Linked DNA regions of Mus musculus. The protein of the gene in region 2 purifies or fractionates together with the protein of the main gene of each other region. This does not show direct contact. Links are inferred from orthologs where the notes say so. Each region holds a gene or a part of one and is shown on either strand. Other genes may lie near its edges. The genes, in order: Ddx42, Sf3b4, Rbm17, Phf5a and Dhx15.

What was found.
Region 1: the proteins of Sf3b4 (region 2) and Ddx42 purify together in Homo sapiens (affinity purification with mass spectrometry; 3 studies listed by BioGRID and IntAct, with this or other methods). This does not show direct contact. The link is inferred for Mus musculus from reciprocal best matches to the Homo sapiens genes SF3B4 and DDX42.
Region 3: the proteins of Sf3b4 (region 2) and Rbm17 purify together in Homo sapiens (affinity purification with mass spectrometry; 4 studies listed by BioGRID and IntAct, with this or other methods). This does not show direct contact. The link is inferred for Mus musculus from reciprocal best matches to the Homo sapiens genes SF3B4 and RBM17.
Region 4: the proteins of Sf3b4 (region 2) and Phf5a purify together in Homo sapiens (affinity purification with mass spectrometry; 6 studies listed by BioGRID and IntAct, with this or other methods). This does not show direct contact. The link is inferred for Mus musculus from reciprocal best matches to the Homo sapiens genes SF3B4 and PHF5A.
Region 5: the proteins of Sf3b4 (region 2) and Dhx15 purify together in Homo sapiens (co-immunoprecipitation; 4 studies listed by BioGRID and IntAct, with this or other methods). This does not show direct contact. The link is inferred for Mus musculus from reciprocal best matches to the Homo sapiens genes SF3B4 and DHX15.

What each region holds. Positions count from the first base shown.
Region 1 is NC_000077.6:106,239,349-106,245,259, forward strand, and holds part of Ddx42 (ATP-dependent RNA helicase DDX42), read left to right. Parts: intron 1-653; coding exon 654-751; intron 752-2,202; coding exon 2,203-2,479; intron 2,480-3,526; coding exon 3,527-3,753; intron 3,754-5,911. UniProt on the Homo sapiens protein: ATP-dependent RNA helicase that binds to partially double-stranded RNAs (dsRNAs) in order to unwind RNA secondary structures. Unwinding is promoted in the presence of single-strand binding proteins.
Region 2 is NC_000069.6:96,174,076-96,179,045, reverse strand, and holds the end of Sf3b4 (splicing factor 3B subunit 4), read right to left. Parts: coding exon 4,963-4,970; intron 4,724-4,962; coding exon 4,517-4,723; intron 2,686-4,516; exon of another isoform or gene 2,559-2,685; intron 2,412-2,558; coding exon 2,238-2,411; intron 2,068-2,237; coding exon 1,880-2,067; 3' UTR 1,482-1,879; downstream 1-1,481. UniProt on the Homo sapiens protein: Component of the 17S U2 SnRNP complex of the spliceosome, a large ribonucleoprotein complex that removes introns from transcribed pre-mRNAs.
Region 3 is NC_000068.7:11,599,106-11,605,696, reverse strand, and holds the start of Rbm17 (splicing factor 45), read left to right. Parts: upstream 1-2,497; 5' UTR 2,498-2,612; intron 2,613-4,940; 5' UTR 4,941-4,955; coding exon 4,956-5,078; intron 5,079-6,591. UniProt on the Homo sapiens protein: Splice factor that binds to the single-stranded 3'AG at the exon/intron border and promotes its utilization in the second catalytic step. Involved in the regulation of alternative splicing and the utilization of cryptic splice sites.
Region 4 is NC_000081.6:81,867,852-81,874,537, reverse strand, and holds the start of Phf5a (PHD finger-like domain-containing protein 5A), read left to right. Parts: upstream 1-2,645; 5' UTR 2,646-2,673; coding exon 2,674-2,725; intron 2,726-3,348; coding exon 3,349-3,372; intron 3,373-4,039; coding exon 4,040-4,206; intron 4,207-6,686. Other genes in the region: Aco2 (aconitate hydratase, mitochondrial precursor), read right to left, coding at 1,990-2,025.
Region 5 is NC_000071.6:52,182,512-52,188,422, forward strand, and holds part of Dhx15 (pre-mRNA-splicing factor ATP-dependent RNA helicase DHX15), read right to left. Parts: intron 2,393-5,911; coding exon 1,957-2,392; intron 1-1,956.

The DNA.
Region 1 (5,911 bases), on a different chromosome or scaffold from region 2:
CAGATGTGAGGTGTGTTTTGTTGTTGTCTGTTGTATCGAACCTATGGTGTCATGGATGTTAGACAAACACTCTACCTCTCTTAGCTGCATATGAATTTCCAGTCCTCTTTTTCACTTTGTTTTTTAGGTAGAGTCTTGCTGAGCTGACTAGGCTGTCCTTGAACTCACTATAGCCTAGGCAGCCATAAACTTGAAGTACTCCTTCATGCTTCCTCCTCCAAATAGCTGGGATTATGGGTTCATGCCACCAGGCCCAGCACACTGCTCACTTTTTATTGGTGCTAAAATTGAATTTAAATAATTTCCTGCAGTGTAAATCTGCTGATTCAAAATTAAAGTCTTTTCCTGAACCATTATGGCAACTCATTTCTTGATTGAAAATGAAGTTTAAAAAAAAAATCACGGCCAGGCATGGTGGCGCACGCCTTTAATCCCAGCACTCAGGAGCAGAGGCAGGCGGATTTCTGAGTTCGAGGCCAGCCTGGTCTACAAAGTGAGTTCCAGGACAGCCAGGGCTACACAGAGAAACCCTGTCTCAAAAAAAAAAAAAAAAAAAAAAATCACTTTTATTTAGTGAATCAGTTACATTACAGAAGCTTAAAGAGTGAATTCAGTAAGAAGTGATTTTTAACAGAATTTGCTTTATCTTTTAGCTCTCTTATTCAGTGCAACTTTTCGAAAGAAGATTGAAAAGTTGGCCAGAGACATCTTGATTGACCCTATTCGAGTGGTGCAGGGAGACATTGGAGAGGTAGGTAATCCTGCTTAAGGCAGGGTGGGTCCTGGGATTTATTTCTCATGAGGCTGTGGAATTTAATTCTTAAGTAATGATTGTTCTGTTTTAGATTTAATTTTTTTTCTTTTTTTTTTAATGATTTGTTTATTTTTATTTTATGTATGTTGGTGTTCTGCTTGCTTGTATGTGTGTGACAGTATTGGATCCCCTGGAACTAGAGGTACCGATAGTTGTGGACTGCTATGTGAATACTGGGAATTGAACCCTTGTCTTTTGGAAGAGCAGCCAGTGTTCTTAACTGCTGAGCCATCTCCACAGCTCCTGGATTTGTTTTAAGATAGACAAGTTAAGGGAATAGTGAAAACACGAGTGGCACAGATGATTGATGGAAGATGAGTGATGGGTATATGGGAATTAACAAGTTTCACTATGTAGCTTTGGCTGTCTTGGAACTCACTTGTAGACCAGTAGACCAGGTTGGCCTTGAACTCAGGGATATCCCTGTTTCTGCCTTGTGAATGCTGGGACTAAAGGCATGTGCCGCCACGCCTGGCTTTTTCCACAAGTTTTTAATGTTTTAAAGTTTTAAAAGAACTGGGTGGTGGCCCACTTCTTGAATTCCAGCATACAACTGAGTGAAAAGAAGTCAAGGCAGGAAACTGGATCCAGCAAAGGCCATGAAGGAACACTTGCTTATGTCATGCTTCCCATGGCTTGCTCAGCCTACTTTCTTATACAACTCAGAACCACCCACCCAGAGGTGGTACCACCCCAGAGGGCTGGCCTCTCCCATCTCAATTAGCAACCAGAAAATACCCCACAAATTGCCTACAGGCATTCTGTCAGTTGAGGTTCCTCCTCTGAGATAACTCTAGCTTGTATCAATTTGACAAAAACTCAACTAGGACAATAGGGTTTTTGACACATAATTATAAATATTTATGGGATATTGTGTGGCATTTCAATACATGTATGTAATGTGTAATTAGCATATCTAACACCTCAAATAGTAAATCCTTTCTTTGAGTTGGAAACAGATCTTTATTAAAATATGTATTTATTAGCCAACCATATGTATAATTTCTCATAGTTGTTTTTAAAGTTTCTGAGTGGTAAGCACCTTTGTATGTCGGGTTCTTATTTTTAATGTACTTACATATAAATTCTGCTTGACAGGGAGTGGGCAAGACCCCGAAAAGTACTCCCGAGGGAATAATAAAAATAGGTTTATAACAATCATTGTAGATTATTTTGGCATACAAATTAGAAATGAACATACCGGGGGAATTGGTGTGCAAGGTGCTTTAAAGGAATAATAAGTTTTAAGCTATATTTGACATACTAAAGGAAACCCCAACGATAACAGGGATTGTGCAGAGCTATTCCCATGCAGGTAGAAAATAAAATACCTAGTCTCCGAAGTTTCCTGTGACGTGAGTCACAACTGGTTATTTATTTCCTCTCAGGCGAATGAAGATGTGACACAGATTGTGGAGATTCTCCATTCCGGACCCAGTAAATGGAACTGGCTGACTCGGCGTCTGGTGGAGTTTACTTCCTCGGGGAGTGTGCTCTTGTTTGTTACTAAGAAAGCCAATGCTGAAGAGCTAGCCAGTAACCTGAAGCAGGAGGGTCATAATCTTGGTCTGCTCCATGGGGACATGGATCAGAGCGAAAGAAACAAGGTTATTTCAGATTTTAAGAAAAAGGACATCCCCGTCCTGGTGGCCACTGATGTTGCAGGTAAGAGTATGAATTTCATCATAACCCCAGCCTTTATTTTATGGGTGTTGCCTTGCTCTGTAATGAGACCTGTAGAGCGCAGTGGCTCTGTGGCCACCTTCATTTACTATTCTTGGTCATCAGAGTACCCTTGCAGCCAGAGGATGTCTTGAGGGGAACAGTTATGCCCTCATGTCCACTGCAGTGTGTATCTTAAATTAGTAATATAAGCTTTGGCTTTACTCTGTTAAGTTTATCGGCTACCCTTAAAAGCTAGTGTTTTGGACCTCCAAGATGGTTCACTGGGTACTTGCCAACCAGCCCTGACAGCCTGAGCTTGGTACTCAGGACTCAAAGTGGAGGGAAAAAAACCCGACCCCCCCCCCCCAAGTTGTTTTCTATCCTCTATACACAAGTTGTGATATATATGTATGCATACACCCACACCCACATCCACACACACACACACACACACACACACACACAGAGGTTCTGGGTACTGAACTCAGGTCCTTATGCAAACATGATACTACTAACTGAATTACAGTCCTTAAACGGTTAACTTGTATGGGGTTGGGGAGGGGGTTGTTTGTTTGGGGGGTTTTGTTTTGTTGTCTTTTCAAGATAAGGTTTCTCTGTGTAGCCCTGGCTGTCCTTATGTAGACCAGGCTGTCCTCAAACTCAGAGATCCACCTGCCTCTGCCTCCTGGGTACTAGGACTGAAGGTGTGTACCACCACACCTGGCTTCTGTTTTTATTTTTGAGATGAGTTCTTATATACGTATAGCCCAAGTGACCTTGAACTCCAGTCCTTCTGCCTACCTCTTTCAAGTATTGGAATTGCAGGTGTGATTCCAGTAAAATTATCCACAGTATTTTTTTATATTTATGTTACTCGCAAAAGAGTGAACTACTTTCTATTCTTGGCTTCATATCCATGAGCTTGCCTAGGTATGGGGAATGCACATTATTAGAAATCTAGCATTTCTAGTTACTTCGATTTTTTTTCTTCTTCTTCTTCTTAACTGTAGATAAAAAGTAAAAGAAACTCAATACTTTGTATTTCAGCCCGTGGTCTGGATATTCCTTCCATTAAGACAGTCATTAACTATGATGTAGCACGGGACATTGATACGCACACTCACAGGATTGGCCGGACAGGAAGAGCTGGTGAGAAGGGTGTAGCCTATACCTTATTGACTCCAAAGGACAGCAATTTTGCTGGTGACCTTGTACGGAACCTGGAAGGAGCCAACCAACATGTTTCTAAGGAGCTCTTAGATCTTGCAATGCAGGTAAGGGTTAGGCAATCAAAGTTAATAAAAACAATTCAACTGAGTAAGGAATTCAACAGGCAAGGGAGGGAGTAACATAGGAGCCTGAAAGAAAATGGGCAGAAAGGGCTGGTTACTATGTAGACTGGCACCATGGGATGTCACAATTCATGTGTATGTTCTTTCTATGCTTTCTGTTGAAAAACTGCTCCTTTCTTTGGGCTAAAGTCTGTTTCTTTAGTTTCTACTTGCCCCATAGCACACTTTTATGAGTAAGTTTAATATCAGAAGATGCCCACTGTTCTTGCCCATTCCTCTTCCCCAAGTCTTCTCTTTTTGAGGGCTAAAAAGTATTTGTTTACTAAGGAAACAATTGTGTGATTATTTGTTTTTGTTTTTGCTACTAGGCATTAAATCCAGGGTTTTTTGTACATGCTAGGCAAGTGCTCTACTATTGAACTGCACCCCCTGCCTCTCTGACATGGGCTTTAAGTATTTCTTACATTTTAACATTTCACATCTGACCATACTGATTGCCCACTTCCAGATATGCTCTATTCCAAAACTAAGTAAGATACTGTGCCAAATTATACCTTGAATCACTTATTCTGTGCAGTTCTCAAATAACAAGTTGATTCAGGACAGTTTGTTTTTTATTGCAAGCTAGTGATTAAACTCAGGGTCTGTGGGTACTAGGCACACATTCCTCAAGACAAGTTCTGATAGTAGGAAGTATTTGTTTGACTCAAGCCAGTCTATTTGGCTGTTTTAGCCGTATGTTGTACAGCTGGGCTGTTGGGAATACTCTTGTTTGTCACGCTAGTGGTGAAGAACTGCAGTGCAGAAGAAAGGAGAGTGATCTTTTTTACCCTTTCCTTGATATAGAGCAAAACTAAAATTTGAAGGGTATAGTTTGCACAGTGTTTTTGTGCACCTTTTTTGTGTTTTGGGCTTTCTGTGCTCGGTACCTTTCCAAGCCTGCCATACTTTAGTCTGTAAGTCTTGGATGAAGCTTTAACTCCGAGATGTGTGCATTCTGCTTGTTTGCTCTTCTGAGGCAGGGCTTCACTATGTGGCCCTGGTTGTCTTAGAACTCACTATGTAGATCAGGCTGGCTTTGAACTGACAGACATCCACCTGTCTTTGCTTTCCCAGTGCTAGAGTTAAAGGTGTGTGCCACCATGCCTGTCTAAAATCAGTTCTTAATAAGCCTTATTTTATCTAGCTTTCCCCTTCATTTCTCAATATGCCTGTTCTTTATAAAGCTTTGCTCCTAACTGTGTAAGTTTGTGTCCAGTAGGAGGATTGAGTCATAGTTCCCAACCTATGGGCCGCAATCCTTTTGGGGGTCAAATGACCTTTCACAGGAGTTACCTAGGACCATCAAAAAAGACAGATGTTTATATTATGATTCAATACAATAGCAAAACTACAGTTATAAAGTAAGAACGAAATAATGTGGTTGGGGTGGCCCCAACATAATGACTGTATGAAAGCTCAAGCACTAAGAAGGTTGAGAAGTCCTGGGATGTAAGGTAAAGCCCGGGCCTGAGGAGATGGCTCCGTGGTTGAAAACACTTACTGCTCCTGCGGAGGACCCTGCTTCAGTTCCCAGCACCCACGTTAGGTGGCTTACACTGTAACTCCCATCCCAGGAGATTTCAGTGTCCTCTGCAAACACAAGGTGTGTAAGGTGTGTACCATGCACTTGGTGAACTTAAACTTACACAGACAGATACACACTCACTAATAAAAATAAATCATTTTTACAAACTCTAAAGTTAGACGTGACCAATGTAAAATAGTTATTTTACAGTTTATGTTTATTAATCACTGTACTTCCACAAAGGAGTAACAAGGGACACCTTAGGTAAGCACCGAAGCACACTGATAAATTTGTTATGTCAAGCTATCAAAAAGAGGGCATATTGGAGTTAGGAATGTGGCTTGTTGTTACAGTGCTTCCCTGGTGTGCTTGAAACCCTCAATTCAATCCCTGTTGCCATGTAAACTGTACAATGGTGGTAAATACTTCTAATCCCAGTCCTTAGGAAGTGGTAGTGGAAGGTACAGAAATTGAGTCATCTGTGTCCTCAAAAGGCCAAGATAGGACCTTTACTACGAATGGTCCCTCTCATCAGAAAAGCATCAGCTAAAGATGAACAAAGAAGCTCCTCCT
Region 2 (4,970 bases):
TCTAATCCAAGTCTGCCTCCACCTGCTTAGTCAATTTCACTACCTGGATGCCTGGGGCAGTTCATATTCCTGGGCAAAGAGCCCACAGCATCCTCCCTTACCTCAAGGTTGTTTTGAAGGGTTTTGTTTGTTTGTTGTTGTTGTTTTGAGACAGGGTTTCTCTGTAGAACCCTGGCTGTCCTGGAACTCACTCTGTAGACCAGGCTGGCCTCAAACTCAGAAATCCACCTGCCTCTGCCTCCCGAGTGCTGGGATTAAAGGCATGCGCCACCACTGCCCAGCTGTTTTGAAGGGTTTTTATGGTCACCAATGAAAAAGAGCTGAAAAGCACTAAAACCTCCAGCCCAACCTGGCTCTGACCTCAGCCTTCACACAGCCTTAGTGCTAGATCCACCTTTCAAGAGAACTCCAGCTAGGAGCATGGCAACCTCCCAATTCCAACATTCTATTGACAGGCAGGAGGACAAGGCCTGTTGAGAACCAGGTAAGGCTTCTGGGTTAGGATTAGGCTAGATCATCTTCTTAACTCTGGCTTGTCCTAGGAACTATGTAGGCCAGACTGGTCTTGAACTCAAGAGACCCACCTGCCCGCCTCTGCCGGGGTCAAAGGCATGCACCACCATGGCTGACTAGTAAGACCATCTTCCGACCAAAAACCTAGACATCACTATTTTCCGAAGAAGTCTTCCTGAACATTCGGACCAAGTTAGATGTTCTGACAGTTTAACACTTGCTGTGTTCATCCTGGTCACCAGCAAAGCCTTTGCAGGAACCATAAACGTTAGAGTGGAAGAATGGAGAATGTGAACGCAATTAGGACTAAGATCTAAGCGTCATTCACTGAACATCTGCTTTCCTCACTCACCCTGTCTAGCAATTACTTAAGACATTCCCATGGCTCCAGATGAAAGCCATGGTAATAACACTCAGGAGCTGAAGCTTCCTCTGAGCATGGTGTCTTCAACCCCAGCAGAGGCAGATCTGAGTTCATGGCCAGCCTGGTCTACCTAGTGAATTCCAGTAGAGCCAGGGTTACAAAAACCAGCTCAAAATAAAATAAAATAAAATGGCACAAGGCTTCCCTCCATATTTTAATGGTACTTTCCATTGGTTGGTCATCTATTTTTTAAATATAAGCAAACATACACACACATATATGCACTACCCCCTGGATAAAGGTAGCCAATCATATATATATATATGGGTGGATACACACACAGACCCTATTTCATTTACTATGACCCGCACAATCTTTCACAAGAATATATCATCTTTCTCCTCTGGTGTCAAGGAAGGAAAGCAGAGCAAGTACCCAGGATGCACTGCTGCTGAGCTGTTCTCCCAGCTCCTTGGTTGTTGCAAAGCTGTAAAGCTCTATGTGGACTTACCAGTGTATCATACCAGCCCCTCTCAATCAAAGACACTTCCCAGCCAAATTCCAGATAGTGCTACAATGGATACCCCTGTGCCCATCACTCTTTGCTAGCACATCACCAGACATTTTATTTCTGTTGCTAATGCCTCCATACTATAACAAGATAAGCTCTATTCCAAGTACATGCAAGATAAATCCTTACAATGTAAACACCTTCCCTTTTTCATACTGTTCCTCCCACAAACCCAGACTCCTCCTAAAAGTTACTTCACCAGAGAACAAACAAGAAGCATAGTTTTATTTTTCTATACATGTGTAAAGAAATTAGGACCAACATTTTAAAATAAAAATGAAGAAAATCCCCAGTGGAAAACATGACATTGGAATGGGGACAGAGTTACTGAGAAGGGTCAGTACATTAGCCTTGACAAGCTACAGCATCTCTGATTGGTCCAAGAAATGAAGATAAAGGGAGGATAAAAGGAGGAGACAAAGGATGGCAATTTACTGAGGAAGTGGGCCCCGAAGAGGACCACGAGGTGGAACTGGGGGCCGTGGAGTGGGTCTGGGTGGCGGGAGGGGCCCCCGCTGGTAGCCATAGGGAGGGGGTCTTGGAGGACCCGTGTATCCATGAGGGGGCATCAATGGAGGAGGCCCACGCATGCCGTGTGGAGGCATGGGACCTGGGTGACCTGCAGGAAGAAAAAGAGTTAACAAAAATGAAAACAGGAAGCAGCTAATGTGGAGATGAGTAGGGATGAGAGCAGGAATGTGGGAAGTCAAAGAAAGGGCACCAGACAGGGCGAGGGGCAAAGAAAGCTGCACAAAGGCAAAGATAAGAAATGGGCTAGCACCCACTCACCCATGGGAGATCCAAAAGGAGGCCCTCGGGGGGGCATGCCCATTGGAGGAGGTCCAGGATGAGGCATTCCAGGAGGTGGCCGAGGTGGTGGCTGCCCCCCAGAGCCCGGAGGCCCAGCATGGGGGTGTCCTAGGCCATGGGGGCCATGGTGGGCCAGCTGCATCTGGGACATCCCTATGGATAAACCACACAAGGAGACAGTGACAAAAAAGGAAACCAAAGCAAAGAAAACAGAAGAGTGCACAATGATGACTTAAACACAGTGACACCATTCTTAACCCTTCCTACAGTAAAGCCCAGCCAGTGCCACGTGCTCAGGCAATCTGTCTGAAGGTGACTGACAGCACTGGCTAAAGTAGCCATGCTGCTAATATTCCCCCAGGTTTATTTAGCACATCAGAAATATCTTTTCTCTTGATGTGAAGAAAAAAGACAATGAAATGTGCATTCACTTTCCTTCTGACTTAAACAGAGAGATGGTGACAGCCAAGGATAAAACAAGCAGAATTTTTGCTCTGTGTAGGACAGGACTTGGGTGGAAATTATATGCCCGTGCAATGACTTAATTCTAAAAGGCCAGTAAGAACGCCTTAGGAAGAGCAGGCCTGGTAGCACATATCTGACCTGGTAGCACATATCTGAATTGCCCAGAACGCTAAAGGTAGAGGCAGAAAGATTAGTAGTAGCTAACTACATACCTAGCAAGTTGAGACCAGCCTGGGGCACAGGAGACTTTGGTTCAAAAAAAACAAAACAAAACAAAACAAAACAAAATTTACAAAACCCGCTAAATTATAAAAAAAAGAAAAGAAAATTTTAGCCTGCCATGGAGTGCCCACTTTTAATCCCAGCACTAGGGAGGCAGAAGCATGTGGATCTGTGTGAGTTAGCTAGCCTAGTCTACAGAGTTCCAGGCTAGCCAGGGCTACACTGTATTCAAAAACAAGTCCTTAAGAAGACAAGAGAGGGCTGGTGAGATGGCTCAGTGGGTAAGAGAACCCGACTGCTCTTCAGAAGGTCCGAAGTTCAAATCCCAGCAACCACATGGTGGCTCACAACCACCCGTAATGAGATCTGATGCCCTCTTCTGGTGTGTCTGAAGTCAGCTACAGTGTACTTATATATAATAAACAAACAAACAAACAAATAAATCTTAAAAAAAAAAAAAAAAAAAAAAGAAGACAAGAGAGTGGATGTCAACTGCTCCAAGCAGAAAGTTTGGCATGTGTGAACACCAAACAGTAAACATGACAATGCCTGTAAGTTAGGCCAACCAAGAGGACCCTGAGCGCCAGCAGTGAGACCAGGTTTTCTTCTGTAAGTAAAGGCAACAGAAGAATTTTAAGGAAATGTCTGAGCTGGGCGTGGTAGCGCACGCGTTAATCCCAGCACTCGGGAGGCAGAGGCAGGTGGATTTCTGAGTTCAAGGTCAAAAGAGAATTCCAGGACAGCCAGGGCTACACAGAGAAACCCTGTCTCAAAAAACAAAAAAACAAAAAAAAAACAAAAGAAGAAGAAAATGTCTGTGAATACCCTGGAAAAGTTACTCAGTGAAAGTAGATGAGTCCCTGAGTCAGTGACAGGAAGTGAGTGCAGTCTGAGCACTGGCTTGTGACCAATGACAAAAACATAAGCTAGACTTGCTCTGCAAAGTGGAGGACAGAACAGACAAAGCCCCAGAGTTGTAAACTGGGCTCCTACAAGTGAGAACTACTGAAGATGGTGTCAGAAAGAGGAAAGTTAAGTGTGGGTTGAGCAGTGGCCTTTTCTAGCCTGCCAAGAACCTAAGACCAGAGACCAATGGTAAATTAGCACCTTCACATTTAACACTACAGAGAAACAAAGAAAAGAGAAACAAGCAAAAAATCTACACAAACATAAAAAAAGGAGCCGATCCAGGTTGCTATGGTTGACATTAGAGAAATCTAGAAACACGCACGCCTTTAGTCCCAGCACTTGGGAGGCAGAGGCAAGAGGATCTCTGAGTTTGACACTGCCAGCTACACAGAGAACCCGTTTCTCAAAAAGCCAAAAGCAGAAATGTCTTCTAGATTTGGCAACCTTGGAAGCAGAGGAGAGGTTGAGAGTTTTGCCCAGTACAAGCTATCCTTTAGGAAATACAAGAACTGGAGATAAAACAGGAGCACCAACACGTACAAAGTACTGTCTGTTTCTGAAGAAAAGGAGGACTCTGGACTATTTTCATCCAAGACTACCAGGACAGACAGTAAGAAAGCCCCTCTCACAAGCTCAGCTCCTTCCCAGCACAGAGCCCTTACCTGGATGGGGCATCCCACCTGGTGGGAACGGGTGAGGATGTGAGTGTCCGTGACCGGGATGTCCAGCCCCTGGAGTCCCTGCTGCTGGGGGGCCATGTCCTCCAGCCCCAGGTGGCATAGGTGGTGGGGGCATGGCTGGGGGAATCCCAGGAGGGAGGGCCCCAGGAGGTGGCACTGGAGGTGGAAAAGAGCCAGGAGGCGGCATGCCTGTGTAAGAAATGGAAGACAGTTAATGTCTTGCAGAGCTCCAGCCTCCCCCCTGCAGGCTTCCCTTCAGCTTCACTCCATCTGCCAACTTCATCCGCCAACTTCATCCCTTCCACCAGCACGCCTCACTCCTGTCTCACTGCCCAACAACTTAGCAGCTTACTCTACCAGGGCTGCTTCTGCCTCCTGAGCCTCCCTCCCAAGAGCCTCACTGGCACAGTCTGAACTCCAAGCTGTACCTGGTGGA
Region 3 (6,591 bases), on a different chromosome or scaffold from region 2:
TAGAACAAAACAAAGTTTTTTTTAAAAAAAGCCAGGCATGCCGGGCGTGGTGGCGCACGCCTTTAATCCCAGCACTTGGGAGGCAGAGGCAGGCGGATTTCTGAGTTCGAGGCCAGCCTGGTCTACAAAGTAAGTTCCAGGACAGCCAGGGCTACACAGAGAAACCCTGTCTCAGAAAAACGAAAAAAAAAAAAAAAAAAAAAAAGCCAGGCACATTCCTTTATCCCAGCACTCAAGAGGCAGAGGCAGTCAGATCTCTGAGTTTAAGGCCACCCTGGTCTACAGAATGAGTTCCAAGATGGCCAGGACTACACAGAGAAACCCTGTCTCAAAAAACCAAACCAAACCAAGCCCAAACCAACCAAACAACACCCCACAGAAAAACAATAAAAAAACAAAACAAACAAACCAAAAAGCCAAAAGAAGGCCTATAATAGTAAACCTACAAAATTGATTTTTTTTTTAAAGCTTCAATTTTCTTTTTTTTTTTAATATATTTTTTGAGTGCAGGTGTTTGGTCTGCATATAAGTCTATGTACCACCTGTGACTGTCACTCACAGAGGCCATGAGATCCCCTGGGACTATAGTTACAGATGTTTGTGAGCTGTCATGTGGGTGCTAAGTAGGTTATAAAGAGCCCCAGGTCCTTTGGAAGAGCAGCTGGTGCTCTTAACTGTTCTCTTCTGCCCCACAAAAACAAAATCTCAACTATTACATGTGTGTGTGTGTGTGTGTGTGTGTGTGTGTGTGTGTGTTAATTCCTTTTCCCTATTTATTATTTCCTATAGTGTTTACTATGAATAACAAGATTGTATTTTTTTGATGTACAGATTTTATTTTTTTTTCAACAGGAATTGTATTATAAAATGTCATGTCAAACTTTTAATCAACCCACACATGGTGTTGCTATCTGATTTCTTTATGTTTATCTGCCACAAGCTGGTACTTTATTCCAGGCTTGCATTTTCAAGCTTTCAGAATTTTTAAAATTTTTTAAATTTTTATTATTTATTTATTTATTTGGCTTTTCGAGACAGGGTTTCTCTGTATAGCTCTGGCTGTCCTGGAACTCACTCTGTAGACCAGGCTGGCCTCGAACTCAGAAATCCCCCTGCCTCTGCCTCCCGAGTGCTGGGATTAAAGGCGTGTGCCACCACGCCTGGCACTTTCAGAATTATTTGAACACTTTCTTGTAAATCAGATTATAATGTTGGTGTGTTCACTTGTGTAAGGTCCACCTCCACAGTTTTATGATGGCTATTCCTGGTTTTCAACTCGACTACATCTGGAATGAACTACAATCCAGAAATGGAGGGCACACAGGATCTTGAGGCTGGAAGACACAGGCTGCTGACCCAGATCTTGACATGGAGATCATGAGACAGCCCAGGCAAGGTAGTGCACAACTTTAATCCCAGGACACTGAGGCAAGCAGTTCTCTGAGTTCAAGGCCAGCCTGGGACAAAGCAAGTTCCGGATCCAGGTGTGGAACTTGAGGACATAAAGACATTGGGAGAAAGAAGATTGACTCACTCCTCGTCACCTTCTTGCACTTACTTGACAGCATCTCTGTTGGAACCGATTTCTTCAGATTGTAGCTTAGACAGAAGACCAGATGAAACAACCTACTTCGTGGGACAGAGCAACTACTAGATTCTTGGGTTTCCCATTCACAGCTGCCCATTGTCAGGTTAGTTGGACTGCAGAGTGTAAATCATTGCAATAAATTCATTTAATATATATAGACAGTCTATAGGTCCTCTGACTATAGAGAACCCTGACTGATACATTTTTCAGCTTGAATTCACCACCACCACCACCCTTTGCGGGGGGGGGGGGGGGTTGTTGTTATTGTTGCTGTTTTTCAAAATAGGGTTTCTGTGTAGTCCTGGCTGTCCTGGAACTCACTATATAGACCAGGCAGGCTTTGAACTCAGAAATCTCTGTCTCTGCCTCTCAAGGGCTGAGATTAAAGGCATGGGTCACAACTGTCCAGCTATAGCTTGAAATAATTTTTACATGCAACCAAAAATATGGGGAAAACATATTTACACAAAGCCCTGGTTTCTCTGACCTTTCTTTTGCCATTTGCTGCATTTTTATTCCAAGCGAGCAAGGTTTATAGTGTTTACATTCTTTCTCTGAAGACCTAGCTCAGTGTGTGTTTTTAATGCTATTAGATTCTGCAACATCTCGCCTGCAAATTTATTTCCACCATTTAGTATATAAGGGAATAGTTGGGAGTGAATACCTGGAGCCTAGTAGGGGATTCGGCTCCTACTCCAAGGTCAGAAGGCACATGAATCTCGAAACCTTGTGCCAATGGCGCCATCTCTTGGCCGGCAGAGAGGAGATGCAATGTAGTCCTCCCGTCAGCAGGGTGCAGTGCGAGCCGGAGAGTGCAGCTTTGCTTCCGCGAGTCACACGCAGGCGCAGACGTGGACTCCCGGCAGCCTCCGCTCTCTTACCCCGCGCGGTGCATCCCTTTGCGGACTCCGTGGAGGCTCGGCGCTGCGGCGGACTCCGGCGGTGGGCGGGCTTCCGCGCAGGGCGGCCGGGCTCCGCGCTGCCGCCGCCGTGGCCCATGGGCACAATCGTCTCGGAAGGCCGGGTGAGTGGCGCCGCGGCGGCCCTGGCAGGCGGTCTGATCCGGAACGTAGACTCGGGTGTGCGCGCCTTCACGGATGCGCTGGACGCGAGGCCGCGGCTCTAGGCCGCGCCGTGAGGGGCGCGGGGATGCGGGCGGGGCACCCCGAGCTGCCCGGGGGGTTCCCAGCCCTCCACGTTGGGCTCCTTCAGCCTGCCACGTTCCACCGGGCCACCTAGATCCCCCCTTCACCAGTCCCGATCCTCTTGACAGTGAAGAAAGTACCTTTCTCCTCTTCATGGCCCATGCCCAGACCAAGTTGTTGGGTCGCAAGACCGCAGTAACCCAGACTGCGTCGGGCCTCAGGAATGGAGAAGCCAAAACACAAACCCCAAAACTTGTTTCCTTCCAGAGCACCTGAAGTGAAGGTTGAGGCCGTTGTCTCACCGGGACAGAGAGTGTCTGTTGTAACCCCCGGCATGCTCAGGCCTGCGCTAAGGGGAGTTTTAGCGTTCATGTCCCTCCGCTAGCTTTCGAGCTTCTTCTGCTTGGACCAGTTGTGCTCTGAATGAGTGCTGCAAGCTCAGTAAGGTGCTTCTCCAGGGGTTAGATCTCTAAGAAGCTCGTTGGAAAACCCAGGCCTGGATTGATCCGAAGAACCAGATTACAAGCTGGAAAGACCTGGAAGAGGAGTTTTATTACAAGTGGAAAGGCTGCACCTATGAGGAAGAGGGAAAGCAAGAGCAGAGAAGCGCTGTAGAGTATTCTGCAGTTTAAGGCTGTGACAGAGGATGAAGAGGGACTTAGAAGGGTGATCAGTCAGACCTTCCTTTGAGAAGTCAGGAAGGGGGGACCATTGACATAAGTTCTTGTTATAATTCTGCTTGTTCTGGGAATAGGTGAGGCCTGTCTCTCTGCAACAGGTGGCTCTTTTAAATCATGGGGACACATTTATACTGGGCTGAGCTGTAAACATTTCGAGATAACAAATTTTAGTAAATATGAGTAATGGAGCCCAGGGTGGCAATATGTCTGGAATTCCAGTGCTTGGAAGGTGCAGGCAGGAGATTAAGAGTTCCGAGGACAAGCCACACGTGGAAATCACATGTGTGATTTCCTACAGGCGTCATTTTTCTCCTACCATATGGGTTCTTGTTGACCCCCTGATTTGTTATTATGTACCTCCTCCCCCCCACCACCTGTCCCCCGCATAAATTTTTCACACATCTTTCCAACAGGGAAGAGTTCCCTCTAGTAGGTCATTCTACAAGTCTTTCAGAACAGTAGAGAAATCTGCTGCGCTGTTTGCTTTAGTTACTCTGGTTAGTTTGTTTTTAACAGTCCCTGGCCAATGGTATCTTGGTAATACGGATGGGAAATGTGAACTATCAGAGATGGCATAGCTACACACGGAAGGGTATAAATGATTCGGTAAAACATCATTAAGTCCTGAGTATAAGATATGATTGTGGTGTGGATCAAGCTAACAGAGGTAGACTTTTAGACTTGTGATGGTTACTCTTGGTTAGCTACATCTGGAATCTACTAAAACCCAATGGCTGGCCACACCTGTGAGGGATTTTTATTTATTTATGGACAGGGTTTCACCTGTGAGGGATTTTATTTATTTATGGACAGGGTTTCTTTTTGTAACAGCCCTGGCCCTCCTGGGACTCATCGATGGTTCTGAGCCACCATTACAGGTGGTTGTTGGAAACTGAACTCAGGACCTCTGGAAGAGCAACCAGTACTCCTACCCACTGAGCCATCTCTTTGGCACCTGGAACTTTATAGTTAATAATGCCCCACATAGAGAGCTTCCGTCTTACTCCATTATCAGTTCTATAACTGAAGGATTTGACTCATAAGTCAGTTCACCATAGTCTTTTAGATTGAGAATTAATTCTAGGCTGGACATAGTGGCATATCCCAGCACTCAAGAGGTGTAGGAAAGAGTCACAAGTTCAAAGCCAACCTCGTCTTTGTGATAAGTTCAAGGCCAGCCTGAGCTACATGAGAGCCCTGAGGACTTTTGTTTGTTTGTTTTTTCTTTTTTAGTTTTTTGAGAGGGTTTCTCTGTATAGTTCTGACTGTCCTGGAACTCACTTTGTAGACCAGGCTGGCCTCAGAAATCCGCCTGCCTCTGCCTCCCAAGTGCTGGGTTTAAAGGCGCGTGCCACCACGCCAGGCTGAGGACTGTTTTTAAACTAGTGCCTAAGTATAGTTTTGCAGATTAGAAAGAACCCTGCATTTGTGACAGGAGGGTCCATGGTGCAGCTGTTTTAACACAGAGACATTCATAACTTGCTTCTGCTTTGCATCTTTTAATCTCTGTCCCTGCTTGTCTTTCAGCATTAAACCAAAAAGATGTCCCTATATGATGACCTGGGAGTGGAGACCAGTGACTCAAAAACTGAAGGCTGGTCCAAAAACTTCAAGCTCCTGCAGTCCCAGCTCCAGGTGAAGAAGGCGGCGCTCACTCAGGCCAAGGTAAGAACAGGCCCAGGGCAGGAGAGGGCAAGTCCGCTGAGTTCCTTTAAGCTTGCTCTTTGCCCCCTTGCTGGATACGTAGAAAAGAGTGGGTGGGCGAGGGGTGGAGAGCTGATTGCCTCTCCTGGCTCTTGGAAACAGCAGGACCATTCATGGAGTGGGAATTAAAAAAAGCCATGAGACTGGCTTTAGACTGGAGCATGCCTGAGACTGACTGCAAACTGTTTACAGATGCTGTTTTCATACCCCTAGTCCTAATAGTCTGGGACTTCTGGCCTAGGCTGGGTCCCAGCTAGTTTATTGTAAGAAGTTTGGAATTGAGCTTTGCAGAATAATCAGAGCCACCCCAACATGCATACAAACATATATACATACATGTTAAGTAAATTTTATTTGGTTGGGTTAATAATCGTGTACACTATGAAAGGCTCTGATGTTTGTGAACATACCCAGGATATATAGTTATAGGTGGGAATTGCTGTGTTGTATACCTGTTAGACTTGGCATTGTCTTGGAGACAGTGCAGCTTTTTCTTTTTCTTTGTTTCTGTTTGTTTTCAACATAAGATTTCAGTATGTGGCTTTGAACTGTCTGTGTCGACCAAGGTGGCCCCAGTTTCACAGAGGTCTGCCTGTCTCTGCCTACCAAGTGCTGGGAATATCACCCCACCCAACTATGCGTATATTTTAATGTCAGCTATTAGCAAATATCTTGAGATTGCAAATAGATTTTGTGGGGGTGGGGTTGTTGAGACAGGGTTTCTCTGTTTAGCCCTGGCTGTCCTGGAACTCACTTTGTAGACCAGGGTGGCCTCGAACTCAGAAATCTGCCTGCCTCTGCCTCTGAAGTGCTGGGATAAAAGGCGTGTGCCACCACGCCTGGCCAGCAAGTAGATTTTAATTTGTCAAAATGGACCATTACTTTAGAATTCATCTGCTAACCTTCTGACCTGAATCTTGAGGCTTCTCTATGTGGTTGATTCTTATGAGGAAGTGAAGTTGCACTGTATTGGTTCTCTTGGGCTCTTCAGTGCCTTTCTCAGAGTACTAGCCACGCTTGTAAAAATACTTGGTAGAGAAAATGTACCTGTATCTGAAAGGTGAAGGTATGGTTTCATTTGTATTTCATTTTTGAAACTACAAATTAAATTTTAAAATGAGCAAATAAGTGATTGTCATAACCCTACTGTGGGAAGTTAGGGTTTATATTGTGATTTTTTTTTTTTTTTATGATTCCTGGATGATATGTTGTTTGCTTAAAGCACCGTTAAAGTCCAGAGAGCTCAGACTTCCTGATAAGAGTGAAAGTTTGTACCCTTTAAATACTGAGAATTTAAACTTTCATGACAACCTCTAGTCCACACGGATGGCCATGGCATCTTAGCAACCTGAGAATTTGGTGTTGCTCACCAGCTTGCTGAGATATTCTTTTTTTTTTTTTTTTTTTAAGTTTTTTGTTGTTTTGTTTTTCTAGACAGTTTCTCTGTGTAGTCCTGGCTGCCCTGGAACTCACT
Region 4 (6,686 bases), on a different chromosome or scaffold from region 2:
GAGAATCAAAAAGACAAGGCTGGCATAAGCTACACAGTAAGACCAGTCTCAAAAACAAAAACAAAACAAGAAAAAGAAAAGAAAAAGCCACAAATGTTTATGAAGTAATTAGTGCATGCTAGAGATTGATCAGACAGAGCTATTAAGTAGTAAATACAGCTTCTGAGATGCACGCAGCACAGAAGAGGTAAATGAAAGATGTTCTCAGAGTACAGAGTCAGCAGACATTGCCTGAGACAGGGTGGATTTGGATGCACCGGTACATTGAAAGGATCAGAGTACTACTCACTCACCTTAGCTGAATGAACACATGAGGAGACTCTGATTTTAATCCTGACTACAGCAGTCATCCAAGCTCTCAAGGTCTTAGATTCTCCACATTTAAAAGAAGTTAAACTACATCATTGTAAACACATTCTAATTCCTCATAATTAAATGCTCAATAAGCCTTGTTTAATGAAAACAATCCACAACTGATAGAAAAAGAACTTAGAAAGTTATGGGTACAAGGTCATGGATCATGGAAGGACACGAACTATAGCCCAGATCTCTTTCTACACCATTCTAACACTCACTTTCTAAGGTCCAAATGTGACATAATTCTTTTCTTACAAACTCAAAGGTCATGTATCCTATTAAATAGTCTTTGCCTGACTCCACTAAATCATAGGACAGTGGGGTCAGGACAGAACTCATCGTACTGTCTAAAGAATCAAAAGAACCAGAGATAATTTAGCTGCAAATCCCTTTCATTGGCCAAAAGTTAAATGATTTGTTCAGATAAATGAGTTTGATTTTGCAGTTTGATTTTAAGTAATTTGATAAAGAAAACTTCAAATGATAATGCCTCCTGGGAGTAAGGCACATAATTTTTAAAAATTATTAATTCTATGTTCCAAGTTGATCCAAAACAAATTCACAAAAGTAATCATGAAAGGTTGCCAGAAAATGTCTACAGTTATTTTATGGATTTCTTTTTATGAACAAAATACATTCTTTACAGTAAACATTATACGTTTCTAGGGCTGTAAGGTTAGTAGTGGGAAACCATCTGACAGGCATAGTCAATTTTCTAGACGTCTCATAACAGTCAAGGTCAAACTGTTCACTCTTCTCATCTTTCCACCTAGTATCTGGAAAGCAACTATCGGTGACTTCAAAATATTTGATTCTGTATTCTGACAAATACAAACGATCACACCCTGATTCAGAAAGTTCTGTGATATTAGCTGCCATGAACAACAAGAAGAGAGGGTCTGCAGGGTCACTGCTCAGGCTATGATCCTTTAGTGACACCATGAAAGCCACTACTTTGTCTATATCTTCCAGTTTTTCCACCTACCAAGTTGGGGGAAAAATTATCTCACATCTATGTCGTCAGATAAAACATCTGTAACATTAGTAAACAGCCTTGACATCTGCTGCAAAGGTGAGAAAGCACTCTTATCGTGACTATTTATTATGGTGGGGCCCAGAATAGTCCTTCTTGTGTCTATGACCCCGAGTCTCCTCAAAGGGTAGTAGTGGATATAGCTTCTGCAAACTCCATGCCCGGCAACCACGGATAAATGAGGCGACGAGTCTCTGCTACTGGTGGGAAGTGAAGGCTTCAAGCACCCGGCTTTAGAGGAACCCACAACCACCGCGCCCCCCAATCACCTTGTCATCACCTTGAGGAACAGAAAACCACCCTGGGGGAGCATGGATTCCACCCTCAGAAAAAAAGGAGTGCCTCCACCCTGGACCAGGCTGCCGCTGCTTAAACCCAAGCTTGCCGGCGGGCGGGGATGGGAACTGCGAACAGCCTGTGCCAGGGACGCCTTGACCTAGGACAACGCAGGAACCCACAAGGGCGCTGGGCCTGCAACCGCGACAGGTGCACGGAACGTCAGCCGCGAATCGAGCCCGCCTCGCCTGGCCTCGCCTACAGCCGCGGGCAAGGCAGGAGGCTCCCCGCCCCCGTAAACCCACGTCTCTGGGCTCGCTTACCTGCAGCCGGGTGACCAGGAGGCTGTAAGGCGCCATTTTGTGCACTGACAAAGATGAGGTCGCATGAAAGTGACGTGACAAATGGCGCCCTTAAAAAAGCATCGAAGGGGGCGGGGCTTACAGAGAGACGAGTCAACCGCGAGGGTGGGGCCTCCTCCCGCAGCCAAGAGTGCAGATAGCACAGTGGGCGGGGCTTACATGACGGAAACCCGGCGTGGAAAGCAAAGATGCGGGGAAACTGCCAACTCGGCGTTCGGCGCAACCTTGTCACCTTTGCCCTTGGGTGTGGAAGCTGGAGGGGAGGCAGGAGTTCAAGGTCATCCAGGAAAGAGAATATCCCCAAATCAACATACTTGGCGGAAGCATGCAAGAAGCCCTGGCGTCAATCCCCAACACAGAATGCAACATATGTAGAATTTTTACCCAAGAACAAACTTCAGTTTATGAGTTCAAATCTGGAAGTAAAGAGAATTTTATTCAAAAACCTTTGGTGCACCTGCAAGGACCTAGCGAGGAAACTCTCGCGAGATCTAGCCGGTTTTGGTGCCCCCCCCCACCCCCCGAGGCTAAAGGCTGACGGACAGCTTAATGGCCAATCACGGAGGAACGGAAGTAAGCACGCCGTAGGTTAAAGGTCGGGCGGAAGTTCCCTAAGCTTCCGGCCGCCGGCTTGGAAAAAGAGTTATGGCTAAACATCATCCAGATTTGATTTTCTGCCGCAAGCAGGCTGGTGTGGGTGAGTTGGGGACGTGCTCCCTTTTGGTTGAGTGGGATGGGATTAGAAAGTGGGGGACTAGGGACTTCAGCCTCCTCTTTAGGGCTCTGGTTTGCCGTGTCCACGTTTCGCGCCTTACGGTGCCTGGGTATTCTAGCAGCGCTCACCGGCTTGTGGCATCTTAGAAGAGGGCAGCAGCGCGCATCCGGGAGTCTAAGGCTGGCGGGATCCTCTGTGCCAGGTCTGGAGAAGCCGGTCTAGAATACTTTGAATTTTGGGGGGTTCCAGACATTTTTTTTATTTTTGACATGGCCTTTGGTGTAAAGCAAAATTTAGGGTCGTGGGCCGGGAACTCTTGTCTGTAATCCCAGCACCTGGGAGGCAGAAGGCTGGAAGATTGCTGCGAGTTCGAGCCTGGCTAGAGCTTAAAAGCTAACTCAAGCTACACAGTGGGATTCTATCACAAAAAAGTAGGGGGTGGGGGACAGTGGAGAGGGAGGAAAGGAGAATGTGACCACGATCCTGTACGGTTGACTGTAATCATTGCTACCTTCGCCATCCTCTATACTCAGTTTGACGAAAAACTTTGCTTGCTACCTCACAACCTTAATTTTAACGATGTTTTACTATCTTTGACCTTGCAGCTATCGGAAGACTGTGTGAAAAATGTAAGCCGAACACGCCCTCTCAGGCCTTGACACCTTTACTCTTTGAAGAGTCGTCAATTCCAGTGGAACAGCAAAGAAGTCTTTTTTTGGGGGGGGGGGTGTTTTAAGACAGGGTTTCTCTGTATAGCCCTGGCTGTCCAGGAACTCACTCTGTAGACCAGGCTGGAACTCAGAAATCCGCCTGTCTCTTCTTCCCAAGTGCTGGGACTAAAGACGTATGCCAACACTGCCTGGCTAGTAAAGAAGTCTTAAATAGATAAACCAGCCTGCAGAGGATACTAAATACCTGGCTGCCACCAAAGACTGCCCCACCATCCTCCCACTTAAGCATGCAATTTTTAATACTTCATATTTAGGTTTTGAAAAAAAATGTCTACTTTTGGACAGTAAGATTTGTCAAGAGTAGTGGGGACCTTCCCAGCCCAATGACATTTGTCAATTTGTTGACAGTAACTACATAGACTTAAAAGCTCCCAGACACTAATACAAACTCTTTCCATGAACTACTAAACTGAGACGGGTACAGGATAAGGCTTATGCTGTCAAGGTAGAAGAAGGTCCTAAGGTCACTGTCAGAAGGAGACTAGTGATTTCCCGCATAGGGCAGAGGAGAGATCTTAGGGGAGTAATCGCTATTGGCTATAACTCAGTTCTCCTCTCTCTACAGGTGACGGCAAGTGTGTGATCTGTGATTCCTACGTGCGTCCCTGCACCCTGGTCCGCATATGTGATGAGTGTAACTATGGATCTTACCAGGGCCGGTGTGTAATCTGTGGCGGCCCCGGAGTCTCCGATGCCTACTACTGTAAAGAGTGCACCATTCAGGAGAAGGATGTGAGTGTAGGCTGAGCTTCCTACCCGCTCTTCTCTTCCTTTTACTTTGAACCATTTTGCCATCCATGGCCACCTCTTCTGATCTGGGCTGTGGAGATTGCAGTGTTCAGCTAGTTATCTAGGTAATTTCTTCAAGCCTGTGAGCCAAACTGGGTGTGGTCTAATAAAGAGCAGTTACTCTGTATCAGGGCAGAATGGAAGAGAAGCAAGTCTTCATTGGTATCAGCAGTTAGGAGAACTTCTCCATGTACCTTGCTGTCTCCTGCGAATGGGTGTGTGGACAACCTGCTGAAGGCAGTTCTCCCTGTAGACTCTGGTCCTGGCGGTTGAGTGCAAATGTTAGGCTTGTCAAGTGTGTTTACCTGCTGTCTTAGTTAGGTTTCTTCTCAATGATACAACAAGATTAAAAGCAGCTTTAAAGAAAGAAAAGGTTTTCTTCCACACCTCCAGGTAACAGTTTGTCGATGCGGGAGCCACGGAGGATCGATCACTGCTCTTTCCCCTCCAGTTTGCTCAGCCTGCTTTCTTACTGCCTCCAGTTCCACCAGCCCATGAGTAGTGCTACCCACACTGGGCTGGGCTCTCCCATGTCTGCCATTAATCAAGAAAGTGCACCACTGGTCGAACTAGTGGGCCTTTCTCAATTGAGCTTTCATCTTTTAAAATGACCCTAGTTTGTGTCAGGCTGACATAAAGTTAGCCAGGGCAGCTCATTTTTATTCCTTTTTTTGTTTGTTTTGTTTTGTTTTGTTTTGTTGTTGTTTTGGTTTTGGTTTTTTTGAGACAGAGTTTCTCTGTGTAGACCAGGCTGGCCTCGAACTCAGAAATCCGCCTGCCTCTGCCTCCCGAGTGCTGGGATTAAAGGCGTTCATTTTTATTCTTAGCCACATGTAAGATCCTCTGTTTGTGTGCTAATGAGTACGTCGGTGCTGTGTAGAAGACACTCAGTGGCTCTGCCTGTATCTGTCTTCCTCTTTTTCTCACAGACATAGGTGCCAGTGTGTCTCAAAATGGCCTGGAACCAAAGGTCCTCCTGCTTCAGCTTCCTGAGTGCAGAGGTTACAGATTTGTACCCACATAGTGGTTCTCTGGGCAGGGATGTAGGATGTGGCAGCTACTGAGGTAGCCTTGCTATGTTGGCCCTGGCTGGTCTAGTGCTCATTATGTAGTCCAGGGTAGCCTGAAACTCAAAGCAGTCCTCCTGCCTCAGCCAGCCTCTTAGATAATAGGATTACTTGCCCAACTTGGTTCTCTTAAATCCACTGTGATTAAAGACAGTTTAGGTAGATCTGGTGGTCACATGAGTTAGGGATAGTTATAGTTGATACCAGCTTTAAGTAAGAAGAATGGTATCATGTTGCAAATTGGTTGCTGGTCTTATGTTTTTGTTTCTTGACTGGTGCAGAAAGGAAACGTCTATTGCTTGAGTAAAACTAAGTAGAATATAGTCTGGCTGGACTAATTGAAGATGCTGGAGAACCTAAGCAAGGAGGAGACAGCTGAGCATGGTGGCGCACACCTTTAATTCCGGTACCTGAGAGGCAGAGGCAGGCAAATCCTATGACTTCAAAGTCAGACTAATGTACAGAGCAAATTCCAGGACAGCAAGGGCTACAGAGAAACCCTGTCTCAAAAAAAAGGGCAGAACATAGCTCTAAATATTCCCATGTGTGTGTAGGTTTGTAGGTGTAATCGCTTCCTCATCCCTCACACAGTGTAAGTAGAGGTTATCGTTTTTCTAACCTGTCCCAGGCTGTCTGACTAAACCATGTGTCCACATTACACCATGTGGTCCTTTCTTGAGGCCTTGGTGTGTGCTCGTGTTAGAGAATTAGCACACTCTGCATGCAGATGCTACTCACCGCCAGTCCCGGAGCTCTGTATGGTGCGGAGGCGGATGATCTGCGGTAGCTGCACTCTGGGTTGTGAATGACGATGTAATAAAGGGAAGTAAGGGAGGAAACGGGGAGCAGGAGACAGACAGCAACACATCCTCAAGTCGGGGTCCCACCACATCAGCAGAACGTGCCTGGGAAGCCACATCCAGGCATTTAGCTAGGGCTCCCAGTTGGGAGCTTTTTCTCCATGGGTGAATGTCAGGCTTCTCTTCCCTGCAGCCTTTTATAGCACAGGATAAACCTGTTGGAAGTGGTTTGCTTCCGTGGTGGTCTCGAGGCTTCAGTGTCTGGTTTAATTTCTTTGTTATATCTGTTTACCTGTGTGTGGGCATGTGGTGTCAAGAGGACAGCTTGTCTGGAGTTCCTCTTCTCTCACGGGAAAGTGCTTTGGGCCAATGAGCCATCTTGACAGCCCAAAGCTGCTGTAAGCCCTTACCTGTTTGCTGGTTTTCCCTGTCAGTGTTAGGAAGCAAGAGGGGTAGCCCGACCCAGGATGGAATGTAAGACCAGCTGAACGGCTGAAGACGGGTTTATGGTGTTGAATCCACATTGTTTGGGGAAAGGAGAAAGTGTTGAAATCAT
Region 5 (5,911 bases), on a different chromosome or scaffold from region 2:
TTCTAGTTTCCACCTTAATAGACAGCACTTGGTTCTCTTTTTATGTTTGTCCATCTGTTCAATGCAAACTACCTTCAATGCATCTATTTTATTTTTAAAAAAAAAACTTAAAATGGAAAAGCATGAAAAATACATATGGTTTGACTTTCCAAAAAACACTAACTAAACAAAGATTATTAATAGCACGTGAAATAATTTAAAATTCTACTGATATTAATAAAGTTAAAGCTACATTCTCATGAATCTTTTTTTACAAGAGTTCAACACATTAAATTTAAAAGTTAAGGGTTTGATACAGGGTCTCTCTGTATACCAAGCTGCCTTCAAACTGCCCTGCCTCTGCCTCTCACACGCTGAAATTAAAGGTGTCATCATCCACAGCTAAAAGTTTGAGTTCTTATTAGCATCAAGTTGTCCCTCAATTGGGTCTTTTAATATTTTTGGTTGCTACAATATCAAAATGTCTCTATGAAATACTCAACTTTGATCACATAAAGAAAAATCCTAAGCCAGACATGGTGGTCCACACCTAAGGTTCAGGCAGCAGGACAGTAAACTAGAAGCAAGCCTAGACAGACTACATAGCAAGATCCTTCCTTAAAAAAAAAGGGGGGGGGGCAGGGGGGTCTGAATGTACAGGTCAGTGATAAGTGATAAGCACTTGCTTAGCAGCATGTGCCAACTATAAATGTTTACCCTACATTCATAAAAACGTAAAGAGTAAGCCAATAAATGCCTTTTATCTTTGCATATTAAATAGACAATTATAAAGTTAATTTCAGTATCTTCCCGAATTTTAGAAATGTCTACCATGTCCAGCAACTTTTGTAGTCAAGACGAAACTTTTTTTAACTAATGGCTTTCCAAGTGCCTATTAAATCCACAAGTACTTCATTCAACCATCAGATTAACAGTTCAGGGATATAACCAAAAAGTTTATAGATGTTTCAAGAGTAATTTGCTATGCTCCATGAGGAAAGAAGATTTAGCTACATGGAGTACAACTGTAATAAATCTAGCCATTTCAAAATCTACAAACATACTTATCCCTGAAGTCATTAAACAAAGCCTGAGGTTGGTATGTCAGCTGAGGGAGTTAAAGGCACTGGCCATTAAGGCTAACAACTTGAGTTCAATTCTCAATACCCATAGGATGAACAATAACTCTAAGTTATTCTGATTGCCACACATGTGCTACGGCATGGGTGCATCCATACACAAACATACACACATAAATAGATGCAATAATATACAAAATATAAAACAGGCTGCATGTCTATCAACAAGATCGACTTGTTCATGTTTAAAAACTGGGCACCTGGTGAGACACATTTAACAGTGTTTAGTACTGTATGCTAGAGGCAGATGGATGCAGGTCACAACCACACTTTGTACCTTGTAGCGTTTCTAATCATTTTCTTCTTTTAAGAAAGGATCTCATTATATAGATAAAACCGACCTTGAATTCAGAGACTTGCCTACCTGATCCCTAAATGCTGGAATTAAAAGGTATGCATTATCATGACTGGCAAGTTCAAGTTTTTTTTTTTAAACACTATTCACATAATTCAAAATATTCTAACAAATACTTGGGAGTAGAAGCAACTGCTCCAATTGTTCAGATTTCTCTACTCAAGCTCTAGAAAACAAACTTTGTATTTCTAAGTCTGTATTGTCCCAGGGTAAAATGTGTTGGAAATTATTTCTGTCATACTTACAAGATGAGAATATACCAGTTTTTTTCCTATGTGGACTCAGAAAAAACTAAACACTCTCTACTTGAATCACACTCTTAAAGTCATTAAAAAGTACTCATCAAAGTACTATTCTTCAAGGTACTCTACAAGACAACTGGAAATGAGTTGACAGACAATGGAAAAGAACTACCAAGACCCAATCAGCATCTTAAGTTTAAACATGCACATAACACATTTACCATGGTATTTAACAACTCACCTGTGTTGTTTTACCAGACCCAGTCTCACCAACAAGTACAAATGACTGATGTCTAACAAGAATATCTGTAAATCTATCCTTGTATTCCCATACAGGGAGCTGAAGTCGTTTCTTTAGAATATCATAGTATCGAGGAGTATGGGGCAGGTTGGTGAATGGATTAATGCACTGTGGAAGTGATGTGTGTCCTGTGTGTCCAGTGTGTGTTGAGTGGGCAGAATGTGTAGAATGTGTTGAATGAGCCGAGTGGGTTGAGTGAGCTGAATGAGAAGCTTTTAAAGGTGGCAATCCAGCACTGATAAGCATAGCATTGGTGGAAGCTCTCAATTCTTTTTCCTTTTCTTTTTCCCTCTCCCGTTCTCTGTCTCCTCTATCACGTTCTCGGTCACGATCTTTAGATCGGTCCTCTCTATCCCGATCTCGTTCCCGGTCTTTCCTAGAAATAATGCAAAAATTTAGAAATCAGAGTGATTTCAAAAACATCAATTAGTTATTAAAAATTACGACCAGATTCTTTACATAACAGCATAAACACTCTTTACTACCAAGTCTCTAGTTCCATCCTTCTAAAACCTTAAGCATGATAGCCACTGAACCACAGGCCACCACAATAGCTCAGCTCCCAAGTCTGACAGTCTTAACTGAATACACAAGACACATCCTCAACACAAAATACAAGGTAATTAAAAAAACAAAACAACAATGAAAAGGACACCTGAAAATGGGTATAGTGGCATACACCTTTAAAAACCCTGCATTTGGACACAGAGGCAAGGGGGTCTCTGTGAATACCTAGACCAATTGAAATGAAATGTAGTCAAATTAAAAACATTCACAAAATACAGAATTGTTTTAAAAACTAAGTAATTCACTTTTCTGAAGTTATTTTAAGAAGTCATTTCTGATATCTACTACATATATTCTTAATGGAGAAATTTTAAAATACAACAATATGGCTTTGAGTTGCATCTGAAGGTGGTCTGAGTAGTTAGTGACGGAAGAAACCTGTTTGCTCACTCATTCTAACTTCAGACCAGCTCATATACCATAAGTTGCCATAAGGTTTGGGGACCCAGACTAAATTAATGAGGCAATATGGAGATTTGACAAAAACAAACCCCTAAACCTGTCATTGCTCTTAACATACAACACATAAAGTCCATTTTCTGTGACCTAAATATCAGTACACCAGAGCAAGAAAGAGCACTCTCTCTCTCCCCACAATGTAATGGGGGAGCAAGAGTCAAGACCTTAAACAGAACACAGCTAAGATGCTAACTAAGCACAGCACTGTGAGAATGGTTTAGCCACAGCAGTGGGAAACTGTTAACTTTATCCAATCTTAGTCCTAAAATATAAGATTCTATCCCATATAATCTTACAGTGAGGAAAAGCCTCACTAGCCTGTGGCTTCTCTACCTCCATTCTAATGATACCCACTACAGAATTATAAAGCCAGTGCTGGTGGCACACGCCTTTCATCCCAGCACTTGGGAGGCAGAGGCAGGTGAGTTTGTAGCCAGCCTGGACTACAGAGAGTTCCAGGACAGCCAGGGCAACACAGAGAAACCCTGACTAAAAAGAACAAAACCAACCTCCTCCCCTCCCTCCCAACCACCAAAAAAACAAAGAACAGCAAAAACCCCACACCCAAATCCCACAAAACACACATGCACACACACAACTAAATAAAGCCTCACAAGTCAGCCAAAGCCCAAAATAATTAAAAGTATGTAGGTAACAGGTGGAGTGGGGACACACACATGTACTGGCACGCACACACGTACAACACAGAGACACAGAACAAGGACTATGATTGGGATGTGTTATATGAGAAGAATCTATTTTCAATAAGACAAGTTTTAAACTCTTTTCATTTAATAAAAGAAAGAAAAATAGGGGAAAAGAAGAAATACAAAATAAAGTCTCAAAATGTCACAAGCTAAGTCTGTCTCTGAAATAGACCTCAACCATGGCCTTTGTTTCTAATTTTGTCTACGCACTCCTTAACTGGGTTCTAGATCACCTCAAAATAAGGATAAAGGAAGGATACAAATTCAAATAGCTCAAGGATGAGATATCCTGCAGACCTAGTGGTCCAGTGAAAGCTAGAGAACCTGAGTTCAAATCTAGTGCCTCAGGTGGGCCTGTAACCCCAGGATCCAGGTGAGAGGGGAGGGAGGGAGACAGATGAATTTTGAGTTTGATGGGAAAAATTAGCTTCAAATTCAGTGAGACTCCCATCTCAAACAAATGAGCACAAACACACAGAAAAGTTTAGAAAGGGTTCATGTCTGTAGTTATTACCCTAATAGGAAAGCCAATAAGAAATGTAATAAACACCATCCATACTACCAAGACAATTAAGACATAACCTTTCCAAAGCAACAAAAACTTCAGGAAAGATAAACACAAGGCATAGCAGTCCATGTAATGTTATGTGGTAAATTAACACTTATACTAACACACACCTTTTTCCAAGACACACTTCACCTACAGCTCCATTACTATAGCAGAGAAAGAAATACAATGCAAAACACAAGGATTTGCTAATCAGTGAGGTGAAAATTTAAATAAAAACCACAGCAAAGGCCTAAAACTCACTTTATCTACTCTGCAAAGTGGAAAAAACATCAACTATCAAGAAACATTTAGGGATATGCAGAAAACTGATGCAATGCCTAGGAACGCTGCTGCAGTTCACACTGGCTACTCTGAATGATGATGATACAAAAGGTCTGTTAGATGAGGATCCATGGCCTCTCCACATTGTATACATTATAGACATGACCATATACACATTTTCTTGTTTAAATGGAAACTTTAACTATAAAAGTTTTGTTCATAAAAATTTTCAAGTTGAAGCAATGCTTTTAACTTTAAAGAAACTAAAAACAATCTCAGTGTGATGGTTACATGCCTTTACTCCCAGCACTCAGGAGGCAGAGGCAGGCTGATCTCTTGCTTATGCTGGAGGCCAGCCTGGTTTACATAGTGAGTTTCTAATAGCCAGGGCTACGCAGTAGTAGAGAGATGCTGTCTCTTTTTAGGAAGTAAGGAAGGAAGGAAGGAAGGAAGGAAGGAAGGAAGGAAGGAAAAGTGCTTTAAACAGCACTTTAGTCAACACTGACAATTATTAAGAACAATGTTTTCTTGCTCACATGCAAGCTGTGGCTTTTAAGATGGAACTAAAAACATTTAATAAGATAATACATGTAATAATGCCTGGAATATCTGAAATGTACCAACAAACACTGGTTACTACTGATGTTTCAGTTTAAATTGTACTTGGAATAATAATAGGCACTAATATACTGCTAGTAAGTATGGAAACTAGTCATCTACTCTAGATATTTTATATAAACTACTTTTTTTCTGACAGTCTCACTTTGGGAACTTCTAAGCATGTGCATTAACGTGCATACATAAGGATACTCATACTTTCATCTACAGAAAATTCGAGGAAAGCACTTAACACCAATGAGCAAGACAAGAGACAACTACTGTACTACACAGCCAATGGGACCCAAATCCCAAGAGCTCACTGATATTACATTTTGTATTTAGGAATAAGTATGGACTCCAAAGATGGAAATAATGATTTGTAGTAGCTTACTGCTTTTTTCTTTATACATTTATGTGTGAAAATTTCTTGCCCTTTGCATCTTATCATCTTATTATTTAATTTCAGCTACCACGGGATTGTAGTGAAACACATAATTACAAATTCTTATCAGGAATATTAAGAACCATTAGGATAAAAATGTCCTTCCCAGATTTCTTGGGAGCTGGTGAGATGGCTCAGACTGAAAAACTGGGTTGACCCCTGAGGCCATCATGGTCAAGAGGAGGTAACTGACTCCGTGGTTTCTTCTCCTGGCCGCCCCTCCACCCCCACCCCCACCCACACGTGCTGGAATGGAGACAGCAAGGTCTGGTGACAGCTGGGGTGACA